Sus scrofa: one gene and its partner. The protein of the gene in region 2 purifies or fractionates together with the protein of the main gene of each other region. This does not show direct contact. Links are inferred from orthologs where the notes say so. Each region holds a gene or a part of one and is shown on either strand. Other genes may lie near its edges.

Evidence for each region. Proteins that work in one complex are often made in the same cells at the same time.
Region 1: the proteins of CUL4B (region 2) and GRWD1 purify together in Homo sapiens (co-immunoprecipitation; 4 studies listed by BioGRID and IntAct, with this or other methods). This does not show direct contact. The link is inferred for Sus scrofa from reciprocal best matches to the Homo sapiens genes CUL4B and GRWD1.

Annotation. Positions count from the first base shown.
Region 1 is NC_010448.4:53,852,660-53,856,866, reverse strand, and holds the end of GRWD1 (glutamate-rich WD repeat-containing protein 1), read right to left. Parts: intron 3,894-4,207; coding exon 3,680-3,893; intron 3,493-3,679; coding exon 3,350-3,492; intron 3,218-3,349; coding exon 3,020-3,217; intron 1,606-3,019; coding exon 1,288-1,605; 3' UTR 638-1,287; downstream 1-637. UniProt on the Homo sapiens protein: Histone binding-protein that regulates chromatin dynamics and minichromosome maintenance (MCM) loading at replication origins, possibly by promoting chromatin openness.
Region 2 is NC_010461.5:98,685,568-98,689,217, forward strand, and holds part of CUL4B (cullin-4B), read right to left. Parts: intron 3,437-3,650; coding exon 3,369-3,436; intron 2,204-3,368; coding exon 2,085-2,203; intron 1,481-2,084; coding exon 1,288-1,480; intron 1-1,287.

The DNA of each region.
Region 1 (4,207 bases), on a different chromosome or scaffold from region 2:
AGCCGGGGCTCCGCACCGGAGGCACATACCTGCTGGGGCGGCCCACCCCCATGCCCTCTGCCGGGGGGATCCTCTGCTCGGGCACAGGGGAGGCCTCCGTGGGTGCTGAGGGGCTGCCGTCTGTCCTCGGCGCCCAACCTCTGCGTCCACAGCAGATCAGAGGCCTGGCCCGAGGGGGGGCAGGGGGTGGGGCCAGCCCAGAGCCGCAGAGGGGGAGCCAGGGAGGACGGCCAGGCAGGGCGGCTGGGCCCCGGCCCAAGCAGGCTGGTGAGGAGACGGTGGCGGAGGAGAGACACAGAAGGGGGAGGCGGCAGGGAGCCAGAGCTTGGGGGCCAGGAGACGCAGGACAGACGGGGACGCCAGTGCGACAGAGAAAGACGGGGACCCACATGAGGGAACAAAGACATGGTGAGTGAGACAGAGACCACGAGGACAGTGGTGGAGAGACAAGAGGGACGGGGGCTCCCTGGGTCCCCGAGATGCTGGGGGGCACATGGGAGATTCCTGCCCAGAGACCCGGGGTGAACTGCAGGTGGAACAGGATGTAGGGAGGACAGAACCGGACAGCACTTAATGGGCTGAGGGTTCGGCCACATACAGCAGGGACCCAGTGGCCAGGAGGACAAGTCTAATCCACTCCGCATCTCCTCTGGTCCTTTATTGCCCCTCGGGAGCCCGCACTTTTCCTCCCTGCAAGCGCCCCCCTTCGGGAGGAGGGGAGAAGGCCCCACACAGCCTCTCCCTGGGAAGCTCTGTGGCCACATCCAGCTGGCAGGAGGACAGGGACTAAACCAAATTCGGCTGGAAGAACCCAGCCCTCAAATTTGGCACAGCCACTGCAAAGCACGCGAGTTCCCTGGGGGAGCCCAGTGGCTGAGAGGTCAAAGGGTCAAGCCCAGTGGCATGCAGCTAACAGAGTATCTGCAGCAACACAGCCACCTTCAGGCCCACCTGGGAAATGGGCCAATGGACTCTTCTGACAGGTGGGGGTCACCGGGCTGAACCAAGTCCTTGGGTAGGAGGGGTCAGTGGGGTCAAACCCAGTGGTTTTATAGGGCCACGGGGCAAACCACATCCTTCGGCTGGAAGGGTCACTGGACCAAACCAACACCTTTCCAAGTCAAATGGAATCCATCGGGGCGGTCAACCGGCCAAACTAAGTCCCTTCGGAGGGGGGGGGCTGGCCTCCCCTCCAGATCTGAGAGAGTCCCCTCCAGGGGAAGGAACTTAACTTCCGCTCCCGAGCGGAGGACCAGACAGACGCGGGCGGGCAGGCGGCGGGCGGCCTCACACGCTGATGGTGCGGAAGACGGTAAAGCCCGACAGGGCGGTGCTGACCAGGACCCCGGGGCACTGCGGGTGCCAGTGCAGCTCCTTCAGGTCCGTCTCGCCCTGGTGCACGAACAGCAGCTGCTGGGGCAGGCCCACCAGCCCGGGGTCGGTCTCCGTGTCGCCTGCCTCGGGGTCCCGCTCCACGGCCAGGTCCCACTGGGTGATCTGGTTGTCTGCTCCGGAGGCCGCGAAGACCCCGCTGTCCTGGGGGTGCCACTCAACCGAGGTCACGGGGGCCACATGCTGCTTGAAGGTGGCCACTGGGGAGCCCGACTGTGGGAAGATCGGAGTCAGGGCCTCTGAGCCCCTCAGCCTGACTCTTGGGGTGACCTGGGCAGAGTACCCCACCCTTCTCCAGCCTTGGGATTCAACCAAGGTTCCACCCCTTGTGCCCCCACGAACCCAGGTTCTCTGAAAGGGACAGAGGGCAAACTGCAGCTGGTCGCAAAGGTGTAATGTCTCAGGGGCTGCAGTGCCCTCACCTGCCAAGAGGCCCTGCCCAGCTCTAGGTCACAGAACCCCCCCTCGCTCCTGCCTGGCCTGCCTCCGTTTCCTTTCCTATGAAAGGAACATGTGGCTCTCCAGGTTCATCCCAGAAGGCCTTAAAGGTGACAAAAGCACTCCCAGGCTGGGAGTTCCCTGGTGGCCTAGCAGTTAAGGATTTGGTGTTGTCACTACTGTGGCACGGTTCAATTCCTGGCCCAGAAACTATCATATGCCACGTGGATGACCAAAAAGCAAAACAAGGTGTTCCCGTGTGGCTCAGTGGTAATGAACCCAACTAGTGTCCATGAGGATGCGGCTTCCATCCCTGGCCTCGCTCAGTGGGTTATGGATCTGGCGTTGCTATGAGCTGCATTGTAAGTCTCAGACACAGCTTGGATCCCTTGGTGCTGTGGCTGTGGTGTAGGCTGGCAGCTGGAGCTCCGATTAGACGCCTAGCCTGGGAACCTCCATATGCTGTGGGTGTGACCCTAAAAAGACAAAAAAACCCAAACCAAAACCAAACGAAAACATTCCCGGGCTCCAGAGAAGGCTGATGCAGAGCATAGCACTTTTACTAAAGCAAAGGTGGGGATCAGAGCCTCTGTGATTTGGCAAGGTGGTTCCAAAGTTCCAACCACCAATCCACTTGGCCATATGACCTGGCCCTGAACCTCCTGCCTTGGGGGCTCCCTTTCCAGAAGTTTCTCCCTTCCATTGGGGAAAGAAAAAAGATGATCTGGGGAGGGCACAGAGGTGCATGAAGCCCTGGCTCTGTCTAGGGAGACACCAGAGGCTGCCCCAGCCCCACAGTTCTACAAGGTCCACTCCTCGCTGGCAATACCGCACCCCCTCCCCGTGTGCCTCTGCCCCTTCTTCACCTCGGGTCCCTCTCCCAGTCATGCTGTGAAATCCACTGGAAGCAAAACTATGATCTTCTGAAGCCCCGGAGGCCCTGGGCAGCACGGCGCGACGGCTGGAGTCCCTGCCACCACCTGCCCCTCTTGACAGCGCTCCAGCTGGCATGGAGCAACCCCACTGCAGCCCCAAGCCTGGTCCCTGCTGAGCCTGGTGCCCCATCTGTTCCCTGATTCAAAGGGCCTTCCCGGCACCAGTGTATAAACCCCACAGGAGGGAAACCCCACAGATCCTAGCGGCTGCAGGAAGCAAGGGCTTCTCCCCTGGGGCCCAGCTGGGACTGTACCTTGAACTGCCGCAAGTCCCAGACCTTGAGGGCTCCGTCGTCCCCGCCACTGAGCAGAAAGGGCTCCTGCCGGCTCCAGCTGATGACGTTGACATCCCCGTTGTGGGCGGCGGGGGTGGTGAGCATGCAGGCCTTGCTGGGCGCCGCCCGGATGTCCCAGATGCGAATGGAAGCGTCGGCCGAGCAGGAGGCAAATACCTGGACAAGGCAGAGTCTGAGGGACCCTGGTGGACCCCACATACCCTGAAGATCCTGATCCCTCAGCAGGACCTGCGCCCAGCCCCCTCCTCCCCCAAGACCTTGGAGTCGAGACCCCCAGCCCTCCCTCACCGTGTCCTCTGTTGGGGACCACTGCAGGTCCTCCACGGAGCGTGTGTGGCCCACAAACGGCCGCTGGTCCACGTGCCAGGAGCCACTGTCCGTAGGTGTCCAGAGGTGGATGTTCTTCTGACAGTCCCCGGTCAGCAGGCGCCCTGGGTGAGGGAGTCGGGAAACGACGTCTTGGCACCCGGCCATGGCTCACTCCCGCTCCTCCCAGAGCCTGCTCCCTCTCAGCCCCCAGGTGGAAGTTCCCGGGCCAGGGATCGACCCCGAGCCACTGCAGTGACAACACTGGATCCTTTAGCTACTGTGCCACAAGGGCGCACCCCAAGGACTCACCAGGCACTCGAGGGGACCAGTCAAGTGCAAAGCCCTCGCCCATGTGGCCAGAGAAGGCGAAGATGGGCTTCACGCGGGCCTGCTCATCTCGGAGGAAAGTGGCCAGGGCCTGGGGGTCATCCACCACCTGCAGGAGCCGCCGCAGTGCAAACACCTCTACCTGGCCCTTCTCTGACCACACCCCGGCCACCGGCTCCTCACCCAGCCACGACACCTGCAGGGGAGCGAGGAGGAGAGGGGAGGGGGGAGGCACAGGGTGGTGACCACAGTCCCTAGCATTGCTGAGAACCAGAAGTGCAGTTACTCAGACCCCACCCACCCAGCCCTGGGACTACAACTCCCAGAAACCCTTGCGAGTCCGGACTCATGGCCGCAAGACGGGATTGGTACCTGGGACAGCTCCACCCCGCAGGAGAGGTGGTGCTTGGGGAGGACAAAACTCCTCCCAGACTCCCGGGATTTGAGGCTCTGGTTCCACTAGCGCCCCAAAGTGTGTTCAGACTCCTGTCTCCGTAACCCTCTAAACGT
Region 2 (3,650 bases):
TCATGAATATTTTCTCAGGTCGGTCTCCCAAAGCAATAGACCTTAGAGCAAAAATAAACCCATGGGACCTCATCAAACTGAAAAGCTTTTGCACAGCAAAGGAAACCCAAAAGAAAACAAAAAGACAACTTACAGAATGGGAGAATATAGTTTCAAATGATGCAATGGACAAGGGCTTATCTCTAGAATATATAAGCAACGTATACAACTCAACAGCAAAAAAACCAATCAATCAATGGAAAAATGGGCAAAAGACCTGAATAGACATTTCTCCAAAGAAGATATACAGATGGCCAACAAACACATGAAAAAATGCTCACCATTGCTGATTATAAGAGAAATGCAAATCAAAACTACCATGAGATATCACCTCACCCCAGTCAGAATGGCCATCAGTAATAAATCCACAAATAACAAGTGCTGGAGGGGCTGTGGAGAAAAGGGAACCCTCCTGCACTCTTGGTGGGAATGTAAACTGGTACAGCCACTATGGAGAACAGTTTGGAGATACCTTAGAAATCTATACATAGAACTTCCATGTGACCCCGCAATCCCACTCTTGGGCATCTATCCGGACAAAACTCTACTTAAAAGAGACACGTGCACCCGCATGTTCATTGCAGCACTATTCACAATAGCCAGGACATGGAAACAACCCAAATGTCCATCGACAGATGATTGGATTCGGAAGAGGTGGTATATATACACAATGGAATACTACTCAGCCATAAAAAAGAATGACATAATGCCATCTGCAGCAACATGGATGGAACTAGAGAATCTCATCCTGAGTGAAATGAGCCAGAAAGACAAAGACAAATACCATATGATATCACTTATAACTGGAATCTAATATCCAGCACAAATGAACATCTCCTCAGAAAAGAAAATCATGGACTTGGAGAAGAGACTTGTGGCTGCCTGATGGGAGGGGGAGGGAGTGGGAGGGATCGGGAGCTTGGGCTTATCAGACACAACTTAGAATAGATTTACAAGGAGATCCTGCTGAATAGCATTGAGAACTTTGTCTAGATACTCATGTTGCAACAGAAGAAAGGGTGGGGGAAAAAATGTAATTGTAATGTATACATGTAAGGATAACCTGACCCCCTTGCTGTACAGTGGGAAAATAAAAAAAATTATAAAAAAAAAAGAAATCATCACCTAAGTAACTCCAAATAAATGAGGTGTTAATTTACTACAACCTTGTCAAAATTTCAGATTAACTCAAATTTTATGAGTAAAAGAAGAACATTAAATAATTGGGGAAAGGAATTGGAAAAATACCTATAAGTTCAGCAGGTTTGTTTGGTCTTTTGTTAATAAATGTTTCAAATGCTTCTTTCATGGCGTTGATAAATTTTTCATTCTTCAGAAAACAGATATCAATTATATGGTCAACCTTATCTTTAAAATCCAGTAATTCTTGAACCATGGTTTTATCCTTTTCAGGATTAATTACAATAGTGCTACCAAATGCCTAAAAAACAGAAATAACCACTTTTTACCAGAATTGAATTATCTACAATGAAAATAATCCAAAAATCATATTTTAAGTAGGTACACATACTTTAAAATCTCAAAAAACTTAAAATAAAATAAAGCTAGTTTTGAAGTCAAGGAAAGAAAAAAATAGTGAAAAAATACCATTCATCTATAATCACAAAATAATGAATGATCACTGGGTATACAGTATCATAATGGGGTATTATTATAGAAGTGTCTAGGGTCTTTTCCCTACTTTTAAAGAAGTGAGCTTTGAATTTTTAGAAAATAGCAATCTGCCTTCAGTGTAAGATTGAAAAAAGGGAAGAAATTTGGATAGAAAAAAGGTCCTATTTCTTTCTCCACATTCACTGCTCTGAGTATCAGAGCTAGAAATCACATCAGACATCAAGAAGGTAACTGTTTTATTGCTAATTTTCCACACAGCTATCATTCTCAGGTTGACTGCTCTCAAAATTCTCATTACTTAAAAAAAATTGGATCTCACGAGTACTAAATGCTAGCTGATATGCACTCTGGATATATAAATGATAAGCCATGAGAGGAAAAAAAAAAAAAACCAGGTTAATTGTTAATACCTTAATGTATTCAATCCACTGTTGCAAGAGAACCTGAACGCCTCCTCGAACTCTACTGAAGAGTTGATATAGGAGAGATAAATCTTGAATTCGGTTTTCATCAAGGAGATTATTTAAACCTGAATTTTGAAGTATTTGTTATTAAAAAAGTGAAAACATCAGATATTGTAATGAAAATTAAGTTAAATTATTACTGTGATACTAGATTTTAATATGGATATGTGCTCTGAATTAAACTCAAAGAGACAGTCACCTTTCCAAATGAAAACTAAATATAGAAAACTTTACATAAAAATAAAAATAATAATATAGCAGTTTATACTATTTAGTATGGCAGATCACATGTATAAACCAACTTATAAAAACTGATTTACATAAATATATATACTTCATATCAAATTTGTAACAGCCATATATACATCAGTGTACATAGGTATATTTTAGAGTATTAGATATGGCCTGTGGTATATTGAAACCCATGTACCAATAGGCAAAGTTTAAATGAAGTTCTAATGCATTTGATTTTCAGAATGAATAGCGTAACTGCATTAAAATTCTAAAATATTTTACACAAAAGAAAAGATGACTGGAAAGAAAGGTAAGACTTTGGCCTATTTGTGGCACTGTCAAAATTCAGGACATCCTCATAGATAACTTAGGAGTAATAGAAATGCTTGGTTCTGGGAGTTCCCGTCATGGCACAGCGGAAACGAATCCGACTAGGAACCATGAGGTTGCAGGTTCGATCCCTGGCCTCGCTCAGTGGGTTAAGGATTCGGCATTGCCGTGAGCTGGGGTGTAGGTTGTAGACTCAGCTCAGATCTGGTGTTGCTGTGCTGCCTGTGGTGTAGGCCAGTAGCTTAGCTCCAAATGGACCACTAGCCTGGGAACCTCCATATGCCATAGGTGCAGCAGCCCTAAAAAGACAAAAAAAAAAAGCAAAAAAAAAGAAATGCTTGGTTTTATATGCTAGGAACAGAAACATTTTAGTGAAAAAATGCCTTTCCTTATTACTGTAGTCTTACAAATTAAAATAAAAAATCCCCAAATTCCCACTGTTTCTTTACTGGTATTGGTAGAGTCCTCTCATCTTACTTTCTGTATCTTAAGGAAAGAAGCACCTCCTTAAGTTTACAGTGATGACTAGGGAAAAGTGGGTTGCATCCATCCTCAGAAATGCAGCCACACGCTAGCAAATTTTCAAAGGTGCAATCTTTAAAAATTTTCTACTTGTTTGCTGCTATCATTTAAAAAGTAATCTCTTATTTATAAATTGCCAATTACCTTTCTGAAGAATTGCTGTTAAGTGTTCACCTAGAAGTTGTTTCTCTACAGTAGCAATTAATGACTTCCTACAAAAAAAATTAGAATTATTGACATTTGACTTTGCTAAAAATTTACAGCCTCTCCTGGGGGGGGGAATCATATTTCAGAATTTTGTAACAGCATGAAATAAATACTTTCACAGTCTTGCTGTGGCTTTCCCCCAAATTTCTCTGGTTTTATTAGGAAAGTAAAGAATTTATCTATGCTGCTTACAGGTTCTCCTGGGTTGGTAATATTTAG